3 linked regions of the Macaca mulatta genome follow. The protein of the gene in region 1 purifies or fractionates together with the protein of each later gene. This does not show direct contact. Links are inferred from orthologs where the notes say so. Each region holds a gene or a part of one and is shown in the gene's direction. Other genes may lie near its edges. The genes, in order: NUMA1, EPB41L3 and WDR76.

Region 1 (4,238 bases):
GACCATGAGGATGGGCTAAACCTTAATGAGGACCTAGAGAACTTCCTACGGAAAGGTGAGTAGGTACATACTCCTGAGAATCCCCTCATCTCTGAAATGGGGAATACTAGGATCCTGAGTTGTCAAGAAGTGCGGTGGGGGTTTGTTTCTGTCTGTAACACAAGGCAGAGTTGGTGGTCAGGAAAAGTGTGTGTAATGGAGTAGGTCGATTTCTGGGTCATGTATCATCTCAGTTCCTATGGAGCTCCTCCTTGCTGCCTGGCAGCAGTGATGTAGGATATTTACAAGTGATCATACCTACTTTTGTTTTTTATTTTTTAAACAATCATTACTCTAGGCTTAGAAGCTGATAATGTGCAGTCTTTTTTTTTTTTTTTGAGATGGAGTCTCTCTCTGTCACCCAGGCTGGAGTGCAGTGGTGTGATCTCAGCTCACTGCAACCTCCGCTTCCCAAGTTCAAGCAGTTCTCCTGCTTCAGCCTCCTAAGTAGCTGGAATTACAGGTGCATGCCACCACACCTGGCTAATTTTTGTATTTTTTGTAGAGATGGCGTTAAACCATGTTGATTAGGCTGGTCTCAAACTCCTGACATCAGGTGATCTACCTGCCTCAGCCTCCCAAAGTGTTAGGATTATAGGCATGAGCCACTGCGCCCAGCCCACAGTCTTTTAAAAAATGTTTTTCCCATCATGTAGCACATGTTCTAGGTGGAAAGGCAGATACATAAACCAGGAAATATGATAAGGAATCTAAGTATGGAATATATCAATGGTCTCGGCTGGTGCTACAGTAGAAAGAGTGATCGTTCTGCTGGTCTTCTGAGGAAGAGGTCAGCTGGTGGATGATAGGAATGTAAGAAGGAGGTCTAGGCGAGTTCTAGCCATTGAGTTTGATGTTCCTTGTATTCAGGTTCCTCATGAGACCTTCAGGTGGAGATGTTGGAAATGTGAGTCCAGAATTCAGGAGCTGGCTCTGGACCAGAAGATAGGTTTGCAAGTCAGCATTGGATGGCCACTGAATCCGTGGGCACTATGGGCAGAGCCAGGAGGCCCCATCAGATCTCTGGGAGCTTAGAGGGTGGGTAGAGGAGGGAGGAGCAGATGAGGAGACTAAGAATGGGTAATTAGAGGTAGGAAAGTCCTACAAAAGTGGTCACAGAAACCAAGGAAAGAGAAGGGTTTTGAGGAGGGCATTTTGGAGGTACAAGACTTTGGGGGGAAGAATTCCAAATGGCAGTCAGTGGCTCTGATAGGAAAGGTTGTTGGGGGCTGCGAGGAGATCCTGCTCAGGGCTCCCCAAGCCGTCTCTGCAGTATGGACTTGAGGAAAAAGCTGAGCACTTGGTGCAGTTTCTGAGCCAGAGAACACCCTCACTCCACTGTGCTCTGAGTAGTGATGCTCTGTAGAAATGGAAGCCCTGCACTTTATTTTGGTTAGAGACACGGAACTGTGGATAACCCAGACACCAGGTTCTGCCCAGTGCCTTCCTTGGTAGTTTACATATAAGTATCCACAGATTCACTCCCACTAAGGCCAAGTTCTCAGATTGCATAAAGATGCAAATCTTTTCACCTTCTTACTAATCTTTGTTGATTTATTTTGTCTATTTCTTACCCCCAGCTCCTGTCCCTTCTACCTGTTCTAGCACATTCCCTGAAGAGCTCTCCCCACCTAGCCACCAGGCCAAGAGGGAGATTCGCTTCCTAGAGCTACAGAAGGTTGCCTCCTCTTCCAGTGGGAACAAGTATGTTCTGGGCCTTTCCTCCTGGGATAGGGCCTCAGCATCCATCTATTCCTCACATTCCTACCTTCTAGAGTTAAGCTGTTGACCAGCCTCTAGGAGTGCTTGGAGAATCCTGTAGATCTGGGATCTCCTCACCTCCCCAGTATTAATGGGGGGAATTGGTTGGGATTTGTCATGCGCAGAAGGTCTCCCTCAAAAGCTGTTCCCTGTTTATGGAATACCCTTCTTCCTCAAAGACTACAATGAAGTCCCTTCTCTTAGTACATCTCTGCAGAGCCAAGGATAATGTATCACTTTTTTTCTTCTGACAAAGAAATTAAGGCAGTGAGAAGAAAAATTTTCTCAAGATCATGTCATGAGGCTTGAGGTAGCACTGCAAATAGAACCCAGGTGCACAGGCCTCCCAGCTGCTAGTGGACACTTCACAGACCCCACTCCCTTCCTGCTGCCTGTTGCTGATTGCTTCAGATCTTAGGCTCTTACCAATGCAACTGGGCCTTTTCCCTCCTCAGCTTTCTCTCAGGTTCTCCAGCTTCTCCCATGGGCGATATCCTGCAGACCCCACAGTTCCAGATGAGACGGCTGAAGAAGCAGCTTGCCGATGAGAGAAGTAATAGGGATGAGCTGGAGCTGGAGCTGGCTGAGAACCGCAAGCTCCTCACCGAGAAGGGTAGGTGGCTGGCACGCTGGCAGATGTGTGAATAGACTTGCCAGAAGGATGTCCCTTTGGGCTCGCATGTTGTCCCCTCTGCTGGACCCTGGAGCTTAGAGCTCAGCCCTGGGCCTGTGGTCAGGCTGACCTCCTGGAAGTTGGGTTCTGTCTTTGTCCCCATCTTCTCTTTCCCTTAGATTGGATACCATATTCCTCCTCCTCTGTATGCCTCCTCCTCCCTATGCCACCTCCTCCCTTCCCCTCCTGCACATAGTTCTGTGCTGATTCTCCTCTCCTCCTCCCTCCACTCTGGGCAGATGCACAGATAGCCATGATGCAGCAGCGCATTGACCGCCTAGCCCTGCTGAATGAGAAGCAGGCAGCCAGCCCACTGGAGCCCAGGGAGCTTGAGGAGCTACGTGACAAGAATGAGAGGTACAACTCTCCCTGCATGCCTTCCCAGGCTCCCGCCCCTCCGTGCACCCAGCCAGGGGCCCATCCATACTCTCTTCTCGCTGCTTCCCTCCCTCGCAGCCTTACCATGCGGCTGCATGAAACCCTGAAGCAGTGCCAGGACCTGAAGACAGAGAAGAGCCAGATGGATCGCAAGATCAGCCAGCTTTTGGAGGAGAATGGAGACCTTTCCTTTAAGGTGGGTGTTAAGGTGGTGTGTGCATGGAGGCCCCTCAGGGCTGAGGCAATCTGGAAGGCTCCCCAAGAGAGGGTTGAGAAGAATGTCCCAGCACCTGTCTTACGCTGCAGTCTCTCCAGAGACCTGCATATTTTGCCCCTTTCCTTGTCCCCTAATTGGCTGCTTCCCGGGTACTGGGTTGTGACCCTAAAGTTTGATTTATGGTCCTGAATTAGAGGTGTGATGGCTGTGATTGGTTTGTGGAGGGTTGGCAGGATAATTGGAGGCATCCAGCCCCTGGGGTTCAGGGAGCAGACAGCAGTGGTAGGGTCAGCATTGACCCTGGGTGATGGGGATTCTCACTTGCCCATCTCAGCTGCGGGAGTTTGCCAGTCACCTGCAGCAGCTACAGGATGCCCTCAATGAGCTGACAGAGGAGCACAGCAGGGCCACTCAGGAGTGGCTGGAGAAGCAGGCCCAGCTGGAGAAGGAGCTCAGCACAGCCCTGCAGGATAAGGTAACCCTCTGCTGGGGTCACAGCCACAGTCTTGACCACATATGCAAAGCTGAATCCAGTTTACCACTGTGCTCTTCTCGGCCTTTGGGTATTAAGCTGCTTTCTCTTCAAGGTTTGATAGTGTGCTGTAATTGAAAGGTTGAAAGGTTGTGGGCTTCAGTCTAGTACACCTTTCTTTTTTTTTAATTTATTTTTATTTTTTCCCCCAGTCAGTGCCCTCACTTTATAGTATACCTTTCAATCCTATCTCTGGTGTTTATAAGATGTGGATCTTGGACAAGTTAATCAGTCTGTTTTTCTAAGCATTCTTTTCCTAAAATGGGAGTAATAACGAGTAGCAGCCTTACCACCTATTATGAGAAAATGTATGTAAAGCACTTCACACATTACGTAGTGTAAAGTAAGCTCTCAGTGAACCAGTTGTTATGGTTGCTATTGGTAAGAACCCAACTTGGCCACTTAGTAATAACCATGTAGCCCTTGATCTTGGCACTTAGCATCTGCTTCAGGTTCTTGCTCTGTAAGAGAAATAGTAATAGCTGCCTCTCACATTTGTAAGTGAATTAGAAATTCAGGAATGCACCCAGGCCGGGCACGGTGGCTCACGCCTGTAATCCCAGTACTTTGGGAGGCCAAGGCGGGTGGATCACCTGATGTCAGGAGTTCGAGACCAGCCTGGCCAGCATGGTGAAACC
Region 2 (4,338 bases), on another chromosome or scaffold:
AAGTGTTTCCAATATGCCCTTGTGTAGCGCCACCTCTGACTTCCTATAGAAAGCCTCTTTCCTCTGCCTCAGCCTGCTGAGGATTCCACAAAACACAGCTAGATGTGAGCTGCATGTGCACACTCCAGTCTCATTTAACAGTGCAACACCTGCACTCTCAAAACCTAGACATTTCCCTAATGGGCTATAAAATGTGCTATTTGGGCAGTTAATTTCAAAATGTTATTAAACTAATAGGCACTTGGCAATGTACCTCTTTCACATAGATACACCCAAGAGTCAGACGTTTCTGGTTGATTGGATGGCTTTCCAGACTTGTGATTGTCATATTTTATAGCTTTTCCTCCTCCAGAACGCTTTACGAAATCCGTTTTCCAGAAAGCACGCCTCCAGGAGCTACTAGGAGGCAGAGTGAGTGAAGACTGGCCTGAGTGCCCAGGGATAGACTGTGCAGTGAACTCTTGTCCAGGTCTTTGGGGTAGAGGTGGAAGGAAAAGAAAGATAATGTTCCCTTTGTTTACTTAGAAGGTCCAAGAGTTGTAGAAAGCACAGGTCTCGTTTTTAGTGTGCACGGGCATATATTCTCATGGCCTGGACTCACAGGCCACAGAATCAAGCAAACACGCATGTGACATACTGAGCCTTCAGGCCTGGAAACCCCGTGGGCACCAGTGGGGATGGCTTTGCAGGCGCTGGAACTGCGGGATCCGCCGCTGCAGGGGTGCAGGCTGGGTGAGAAAAGGGTGCAAGCTGGGTCTACACTGCTCTTCATATTTTGGCGCTTCATGTGAAGTTGGATGATGCTTAAATGAAACAGCCCCCAAGCCACTTTCTGGCCTACATCCCCAGACCGCCGCTGTGAAGTTAACTCTTTTCAGAGATTGCAAAAATTTAATACCAGCAAAAGAAACCAAGTTACCAGGTCCCCTTAAGGCACACGAAAGGACATTTATCATAGCCTCTCCTTTCCCTCCAGTCCCTAGCTACACAAAATTGTGTGTGTGTGTGTGTGTGTGTGTGTAATTCTTTCCCTGCTTGCAGAGACCGCTGGCTATAAAGCCCAGGGAGGCCTGTAAGGAGACCCACACTTTGCGAGCGCGCGGCTCGAGGGCGGGCTCAGGGCGGGGCAGAGCGCCGGGACCGCCCGGGCGCCGGGCGCAGCCAACGAGAGGACCGGGAGGGCGGGCCGGCGAGGGCTGAGCGGCGCGGGCTGTCACAGGCGCCCGAAGCGCGCTGCAGGTGGCAACTTGGAGGTGCCGCCACCGCAGCTGCGGGAGGAGCCCGGGTCTGGCGGCTCCTTCCAGCCTCCAGGAGCTCTTTCCCGCCGCCGAGCCCGAGATTGGACCTCGGAGAATTCGCAAGAAAGAGCCCCTGCGGAGGGACCTGTGAGCAGCCCTACCTCACTCTGCCCTTGCGCTACTTTTTTCCTCCAAGGAAGGTTGTGCCCGCGGGCTGCCAACAAGCTCCGGGAGGGGCCCCAAAGGAAGGCTTCGGTGACCCAGGTGAGCGCCTTTCCCTTCCAGTGCCCCATCCTTCTTGGCAGTCGGGCGTAGGCCGGGAGCGCCGCCTAGCCCCGTGGGTAGGGGCGCGGGTGCGGGCCGCCTGCCCTTGGCTCGAGGTCGACGGGGGAGAAAGCAAGGAAGGGGCGAGGCTGGCCCGACCGGGGGCTGCCGGGCCGGGTCCGCCCGGAAGCGGCAGGGACTCTCGGACCGGCACCTGGAGACTAGGGACGAGCAGAGAGGTGCTTTGAGGCGGACAGAGGGCTTGCGCCCGGTTTAAGCTGGCCGGGATCTACCGCCTGCGCTCTGTGCTGGAGCCGCCGTGGGAGCCGAGCGCGGCGCCTCTGCGAACCCCAGAGCTAGTGCGCGGGGCCCGGCGAGCGCACCAGTCTTCGGTCCCTCGGAGCCCAAGGCCCTGGAGGACGTCATTCCTCTCCGCTCGGGCAACTCCTCCTCCGCCCCGTCTTGCCTCCACCCCTCCGCGCCCGCCGTTTAGCCTATTCGGAGACTCCGTGCTTTTTGCCAGCGCGCGCAGTGGTTGCTGCTGTCACTCCCCTCCCCGCCCTCGCAGGAGTTGGAGCGACCTGGGGTCTGGGTCCCCGGCCCCCGCCGCCTAGTTGTGGGCTGGACGCGAGTGGGGCTGGCCAGTTCTTTGCGAGGAGGGCAGGAGTGAGCGCGGGCTCTCTCTCTAGTGCTCCTTCCGAATCCGTCCCCGCCCGCCCCTGCAGCTCGAACCGCTAGCCCAGAGAGCGGAGTGTCAGAAGCCAGATCTTGTTAGCTCTGGGGAAACTAGGAAGCCTGGGAAGGTGCGAACCTCGCCGATGAGGCCAGAGCCTCCGCCCCCATCTCAGTGTTTCTGCCCCTGCTTTCCTGCTTTCAAGTGGACAGTGGCTTTGACCTCCGCATTCCTGCTTGTGGCGTGGGGGCGCTAGCGGCAGTGTGTGTGTGTGCGGTTTGTAAGGATGAGCGAATGCGATCCTCCGGGAGGCAGAGGCGCAGGAGCCCGTTCCCCCAGCCCGGCAGAGCCGCAGGGACCGCCACCCCTCGCCGCCAGCGGCGCGCAGCTGCAACTCCGCGCTGCCGGTTTCTCTCCTCCCGCTCCAGCTCCCAGTCCCCCCCCACCAACGCGGCATCCCAGGATTAAAATCATCTGGCCAAAGGGTGCGGGTGGGGGATCGAGGTGCTCCCGAGGCGAATGAGGCTGTTTCTCAAAATCCTGGGAGCGCCCCTCGCCCGGCGCTGCATCTTCCGGTGGCTGGGCTGTAAGGACCGGCGGTGGAGGCTTGGCGGAGGCGGGCCCGCGCTCCAGAGAGGCCGTCATGTCACCCGAGAAGCCGACGCTGGGGGCTGCTGAACCTCCGAACTCCCTTTGACGCGTCCTGCTCGGAGCCGGGGAGCTCCTGGCTGGCCGGGGGAGCGCCGCGCGGGAGGTGCGGTGGCCTGGCCAGTGCTGCGGGAGGGCGCCCCGGGCGCGTCGGGGGCTGCGTGGGGGGGCTGGAGAGCGCGCGGGGAGCTGCGGCGGGCTTGGGGCACCCGAGTGGCGCTGGAAGTTGAGCCGGGGTCCGCAGGGCTCGGTGACCGCCCTGGCGCCGCCGCTGCGGATTCGGGAACAGCGGCCACGCGGCGCGTTCGGCCGCCCCCTCGGCCCGCCCGCCGCGGCTTTCGCTTTCCTTCTGCAGAAGTGAAGCCGCCGCCTGGGCTCGCTCCGGCTGGCGACCTTTGCGCCAGAAAAGCCTGAGGTGCTGGAGGCGAAATCCTCCCGGGAGCGAAGGGCGGCGTCCACAAGACAAGGAAAGGGAAGACGCCGGGCTCCGGCGGGTAGCGCAGTCGCGGGAGGGCGGCGCTGAGCGCCAAGGATCCCCGAGGCGAGGCGGACCCAACCCAGCCGGGAGGTGCTGCCCTGGCCCTTGGCGCTCTCTCACAGGGAGCTGGTGGACCCCCCGCCCCTGCCAGTCCGTAACTCCCGTGTAATTCCCTCTGAAGTGCTAAGACTGGGCCGGGAGAGGGCTGGAAGCCACTAAATGAATGAAAGTAGAAACGGTGGTGAATCCCAAATCTAACTATGGTTTAAATCTAAATTCCACGTGATTAGAAACAGATTCTAACCCGGTAGAGCAGGGTCTATGTGGGAGCTCCTATATCGCATTCAAATAATGGCAGTTACTGAGGGACACCGCAAGACTTGCCCCTCCCAGGCTGTAATTGTGCTGCTTTGGGGAGTGGGGGTGGGGTGGGCTCCAGTGTGCCCGTATCATTACACATAATCTAGAACGAGGAAAGAGTGAAGTTCAGGTCGGTTCTGAAATGACCTTGGGAGTCTCCGTCTTCACTTTCCCTTACTTGCCTAGGCAGTTCCCAGTTGGATCAGTTACAGTTCAGACTTGTGACACCAAGGGGTCAAAGAGCCTCCCTTGTAACATTAGATAATAGTCTTCTTAGAATGTGTGGTAACCGTAGGAAAACATTCTCAGTACTGAGGAGCAGAGGTATAAAACCGAAAGTTTGCAACTAGGCTATGACCTCTCAATCCCAATAATGGAAATACAGCTCTTAGTGGAATGTAAGTTATTGAGGGCAGGGTTCTTTCTCATTCTTTTATTCCCAGAGTCTGGCACTTAGTAGGTGTTCAACAAACATTTGTGTAGAGCAGGGCCTATAATTAAAGACATTGCCCTGAAAAGACATTTAATAATTTTTAGGTCAATCATTATTAAAATCAGAATATTAAACTAATTATATATCCCAAAGAGTTTAAAAATATAACTAAACCATGCACACTGGTCCTCATGAGTTATGTTTTTAAACTCTTTGGGATTGGTGAAATCACTTCAAATAAGAA
Region 3 (4,338 bases), on another chromosome or scaffold:
ACCTATTAGAATATATTCCTGATTGGAAAACGTTTGTATTTAAATATCTAAGTAATTATTATTATTTTGAGACAGGGTCTTCTTCTGTCACCCAGGCTGGAGTGTGGTGGCTCGATGTTGGCCTACTGCAGTCTCCACCTCCCGGGTTTAAGCGATTCTCGTGCCTCAGCCTTCTGAGTAGCTGGGATTACAGGTGCCCACCACCACGCCCTGCTGATTTTTGTATTTTTAGTAGAGATGAGGTTTGACCATGTTGGCCAGGCCCAAGAGATCATCCCACTCCGGCCTCCCACAGTGCTGAGTGGTGGCGTGTGCCACCACTCCCGGCTAATTTTTGTATTTTTAGTAGAGGTGGGGTTTCACCATGTTGCCCAGGCTGGTCTTGAACTCCTGACCTCAGATGATCCACCTACCTTGGCCTCCCCAAAGTGCTGGGACTACAGATGTAAGCCACGGCGGCCGGCCTATTTAAGAACTCTTTAAGGACTTACAGGATAATAACAGAAGCAGCGCCAATTTACAAGCTGGGTTGTGTTAAAAAAAAAAATATATATATATATATATATATGTATATATGCTAATTGGAAAGTCAGGGCACATTTCACATTAGAAAGGACTTTATAACTGCGGAGGAGACAAGGGACAGCAGGAACAAAGTTCTGAAGTCCAGAAACAGTATACATTATACAGGACACCATGAAAAGTTTGGTTTTATCAGTAATTTTTGAGTCATGGAGGGCCTTGAAGTTGCTGTTAATGTGATTAACCCAAATTACTTCACCTGTGTTCTACAACTGGGCCTTGAGTGGGAGAAGAAATGAAACTGGACAAGTCTCAGGCAAGAACAGTGTGGGACCCAATTAAGAAACTAAGGAAACAGTTTTGGGTAGAAGGAAACTTAAAGAGAAGAATAGCCAGAATCTTATTTTATTTTTATTTATAAAAGAGACAGGGTCTTGCCCTGTCGCTCAGGCTGGAGTGCTGCACGACCACGGCTCACTGGCCTCGTCCTTCTAGGTTCAAGCCATTTTCCCACCCCTGCCTTCCGAGTAGCGGGGACTACAGACGTATAACACCACGCCAGGCTAATTTTTGTATTTTTTGTAGAGATGGGGTCTCACTATGTTGCCCAGGCTGGTTTGGAACTCCTGGGCCCAAGTGATCCACTCCTCTCGGCCTCTCAAAGTGTTGGGATTACAGGTGTTAGTCACCGCTCCCGGCCTGCCAATGTTTTTCAGAGCGAGATCCCAGTACCACCTGAATCAAAATCAGCAGTCTGAGGTAAAAATGTCAGTTCAGCCCCAGGACTTCCCTAAAGAATTTGAGTCCTTCTGCAAGTTTTCTTTATTTTAGTCTTCTTACATGCAACTTCATTGTTAGAATTCTTTTCTAATAGGGATCTGGGGCACATAAGCTGGTCTAGCTGGTAATTACTGAGTGAAAAGGGGGCAAGATAGGCCTTAGCTGTTTTTATTAAAACTGTAGTCTGTACTGGTCTCAAAGACACATAAGCGATTTTTTTTTTTTTTTTTTTTTTTTTGAGACGGAGTCTCACTCTTGTTGCCCAGGCTGGAGTGCAATGGCACGATCTCGGCTCACTGCAACCTCTGCCTCCTGGGTTCAAGCAATTCTGCCTCAGCCTCCTGAGTAACTGGGATTACAGGCATGTGCTACCGCGCCCGGCTGATTTTTTACTTTTAGTAAAGACGGGGTTTCATCATGTTGGCCAGGCTGGTCTTAAACTTCTGACCTCAGGTAATCCGCCCGCTTCAGCCTCCCAAAGTGCTGGGATTACAGGCGTGAGCCACCGCGCCCGGCCAAAGCGGCCTTCTTTAAGAAGCGCGGGTAACCCGGACTTCCCGCTCTGGCGCTGCGGCCGCTGAGGATCTGAGTGGGCTCCGCCCCGTCCCGGCCCCGCCCCTCTCGGCCTCCCGCCGCAATCTTGGCGGGAAGGAGCCGGCCACCGAGAAGCCGAAAGATGTCCAGGTCGGGCGCGGCGGCTGAGAAGGCGGACTCCAGACAGCGACCCCAGATGAAGGTGAGAAACGGATCGGTGCTTCCAGGTGTGCGCCTGCTTCGGTTTTTGTGAGGGTTATGCGGGACACAGGCCCGGAAGGTCGAGGGCGCCTGGTACCGGGGGTTGGCGGCGATCCCTGCCCTGAGGCCTTCGGCTTTGACGAAAGGTTCTCATCAATAACCCTAGAAATAGTGGGAGAGTCACATCTGGGATTCCCTTTCTTCAACCTTCTGCGTTTGCTTTTGCCACAGTTATGATCAGCTTCACACTCTTTAAATAATTCCAGACAATCCGCAGCTGACAGTGGGGTATTTGCTTCAGTCCAAATGCTAGTCATTATTATTGGTCTGGGAAACTCTGATGGGCACATGTGCCTAGTAAGTGAATTCTGTTGAGGTTAAGGTTAATGAATTACATATCTAGATTTTGGAGGGGAAAAAAAGTTTTCTTACAGGGTGTCAATTTGGATTTATTTATTTTTTTGAGCTTGAGTCTCGCTCTGTTGCCCAGGCTGGAGTGCAGTGGCATGATCTTGGCTCACTGCAACCTCCGCCTCCCGGGTTTAAGCGATTCTCCTGCCTCAGCCTCCTGAGTAGCTAGAATTACAGGCAGGTACCACCACACCCAATTTTTGTATTTTTAGTAGAGACGGCGGGGGGCGGGGGGTGGAGTGGGGGTGGGGGGGTGCGGCGGGTTTCATCATGTTGGCCAGGCTAATCTTGAACTCCTGACCTCAGGCCCTGCCTCAGCCTCCCAAAGTGCTGGGATTACAGGGGTAAGCCACCGCACCTGGCATCAATTTGGATTTATATTGTCATTGTGAAATGGGAATTATTAGATCTGCTGGGGATCCTGTAAGAAAAGGCACAGGACTTGGAATTCTAATACTCTCTTTTCTTTTATTGATCTGAATAGGTAAATGAATATAAAGAAAATCAAAACATCGCTTATGTGTCTCTGAGACCAGTACAGACTACAGTTTTAATAAAAACAGCTAAGGTCTATCTAGCCCCCTTTTCACTCAGTAATTACCAGCTAGACCAGCTTATGTGCCCCAAATCCCTATTAGAAAAGAATTCTAACAATGAAGTTGCGTGTAAGAAGACTAAAATAAAGAAAACTTGCAGAAGGATTATACCTCCAAAGAAGAAAACCACATCTAAGTCTGAATCCGTGCTGCAAAATTCAGCCTCAGCTGTTCATACTGAAAGTAACAAGCTACAATCCAAGAGAACGGCAGATGCGATGAATCTCAGTGTTGATGTGGAAAGTAGTCAGGATGGAGACAGTGATGAAGATATCACACCAGGCGTGGTAAGGACTTAATTAGTAGCTTGTTCTAGTATCTCTTTTTTTAAATGTGAAGTTCTGATAAATTGAAGTTTTTCAAGGCTCTCTCTGGTACAAACAAATTATTTTATCTAATAATGTAAGAATAAATGTAATAATACATTATTATTTTTAAGGTTTAACAAATAACTTCCTTGGGTTATTTTTGCTTTTGCTGTTGATGTGTCAATGAAAGGATTGACTTAATCTTTACTCTGCTTCCCTTTTTCTTTCTTTAAACTTCATATATTTTTGGGTTTACTCATACTTTATGGTGCCTTGCTCACCTTTACATATTTATGTACAGTATATCAGAAGTCATCAGTTTGTGGGATATATGGTATTGACTGACCCTTGATATCAGGGTAGGGAAACTGATTATATGGATGTGTTGAATAATATTTCCTTTAAATGCAAAAGGAGACAAATGACAGAGTAGATAAGATACATGAGAAATGCATTAATTAGTTCTATATAATTCCAATCAACTTAAGGAATTTGGTGTGTAATTTTTTTTTTTGGAGACCGAGTGTCGCTCTGTTGCTCATGCCGGAGTGCAGTGACACTATATTGGCTCTCTGCAACCTTGGCCTCCTGGATTCAATAGATTCTCCTCCCTCAGCCTCCTGAGTAGCTGGGATTACAGGTGCCCCACCATGCCTGGCTAGTTTTGTGTTTTTAGTAGAGACGGGTTTTCACCATGTTGGTCAGGCTGGTCTCTAACTCCTGACCTCCTGATCCACCCGCCTCAGCCTCCCAAGGTGCTGGGATTACAGTGGTGAGCCACTGCGCCCAGCCTGGTCTGTAATTCTTTTGGCTTCTACTGCCTACCGGGAGGGCTGTGCTCCATTCAAACTGACAACTTTTAACAGGATAAGATAAAATATAAAGCACATGACACAATGTTGCTGGAACTCAGGGAACAGAAAATGATAGTAGGGAAAGGGAGATACTATAATTGAAGGGTTATTGTTATGAAATAGAAGTTTGGT

The links.
Region 2: the proteins of NUMA1 (region 1) and EPB41L3 purify together in Homo sapiens (affinity purification with mass spectrometry; 3 studies listed by BioGRID and IntAct, with this or other methods). This does not show direct contact. The link is inferred for Macaca mulatta from reciprocal best matches to the Homo sapiens genes NUMA1 and EPB41L3.
Region 3: the proteins of NUMA1 (region 1) and WDR76 purify together in Homo sapiens (affinity purification with mass spectrometry; 3 studies listed by BioGRID and IntAct, with this or other methods). This does not show direct contact. The link is inferred for Macaca mulatta from reciprocal best matches to the Homo sapiens genes NUMA1 and WDR76.

Annotation. Positions count from the first base shown.
Region 1 is NC_133419.1:72,311,413-72,315,650, reverse strand, and holds part of NUMA1 (nuclear mitotic apparatus protein 1), read left to right. Parts: coding exon 1-55; intron 56-1,619; coding exon 1,620-1,743; intron 1,744-2,255; coding exon 2,256-2,413; intron 2,414-2,712; coding exon 2,713-2,830; intron 2,831-2,929; coding exon 2,930-3,047; intron 3,048-3,402; coding exon 3,403-3,543; intron 3,544-4,238. UniProt on the Homo sapiens protein: Microtubule (MT)-binding protein that plays a role in the formation and maintenance of the spindle poles and the alignement and the segregation of chromosomes during mitotic cell division.
Region 2 is NC_133423.1:76,749,032-76,753,369, reverse strand, and holds the start of EPB41L3 (band 4.1-like protein 3), read left to right. Parts: upstream 1-1,215; 5' UTR 1,216-1,502; intron 1,503-4,338. UniProt on the Homo sapiens protein: Tumor suppressor that inhibits cell proliferation and promotes apoptosis. Modulates the activity of protein arginine N-methyltransferases, including PRMT3 and PRMT5.
Region 3 is NC_133412.1:21,209,123-21,213,460, forward strand, and holds the start of WDR76 (WD repeat-containing protein 76), read left to right. Parts: upstream 1-1,771; 5' UTR 1,772-1,978; coding exon 1,979-2,038; exon of another isoform or gene 2,039-2,063; intron 2,064-2,932; coding exon 2,933-3,331; intron 3,332-4,338. UniProt on the Homo sapiens protein: Specifically binds 5-hydroxymethylcytosine (5hmC), suggesting that it acts as a specific reader of 5hmC.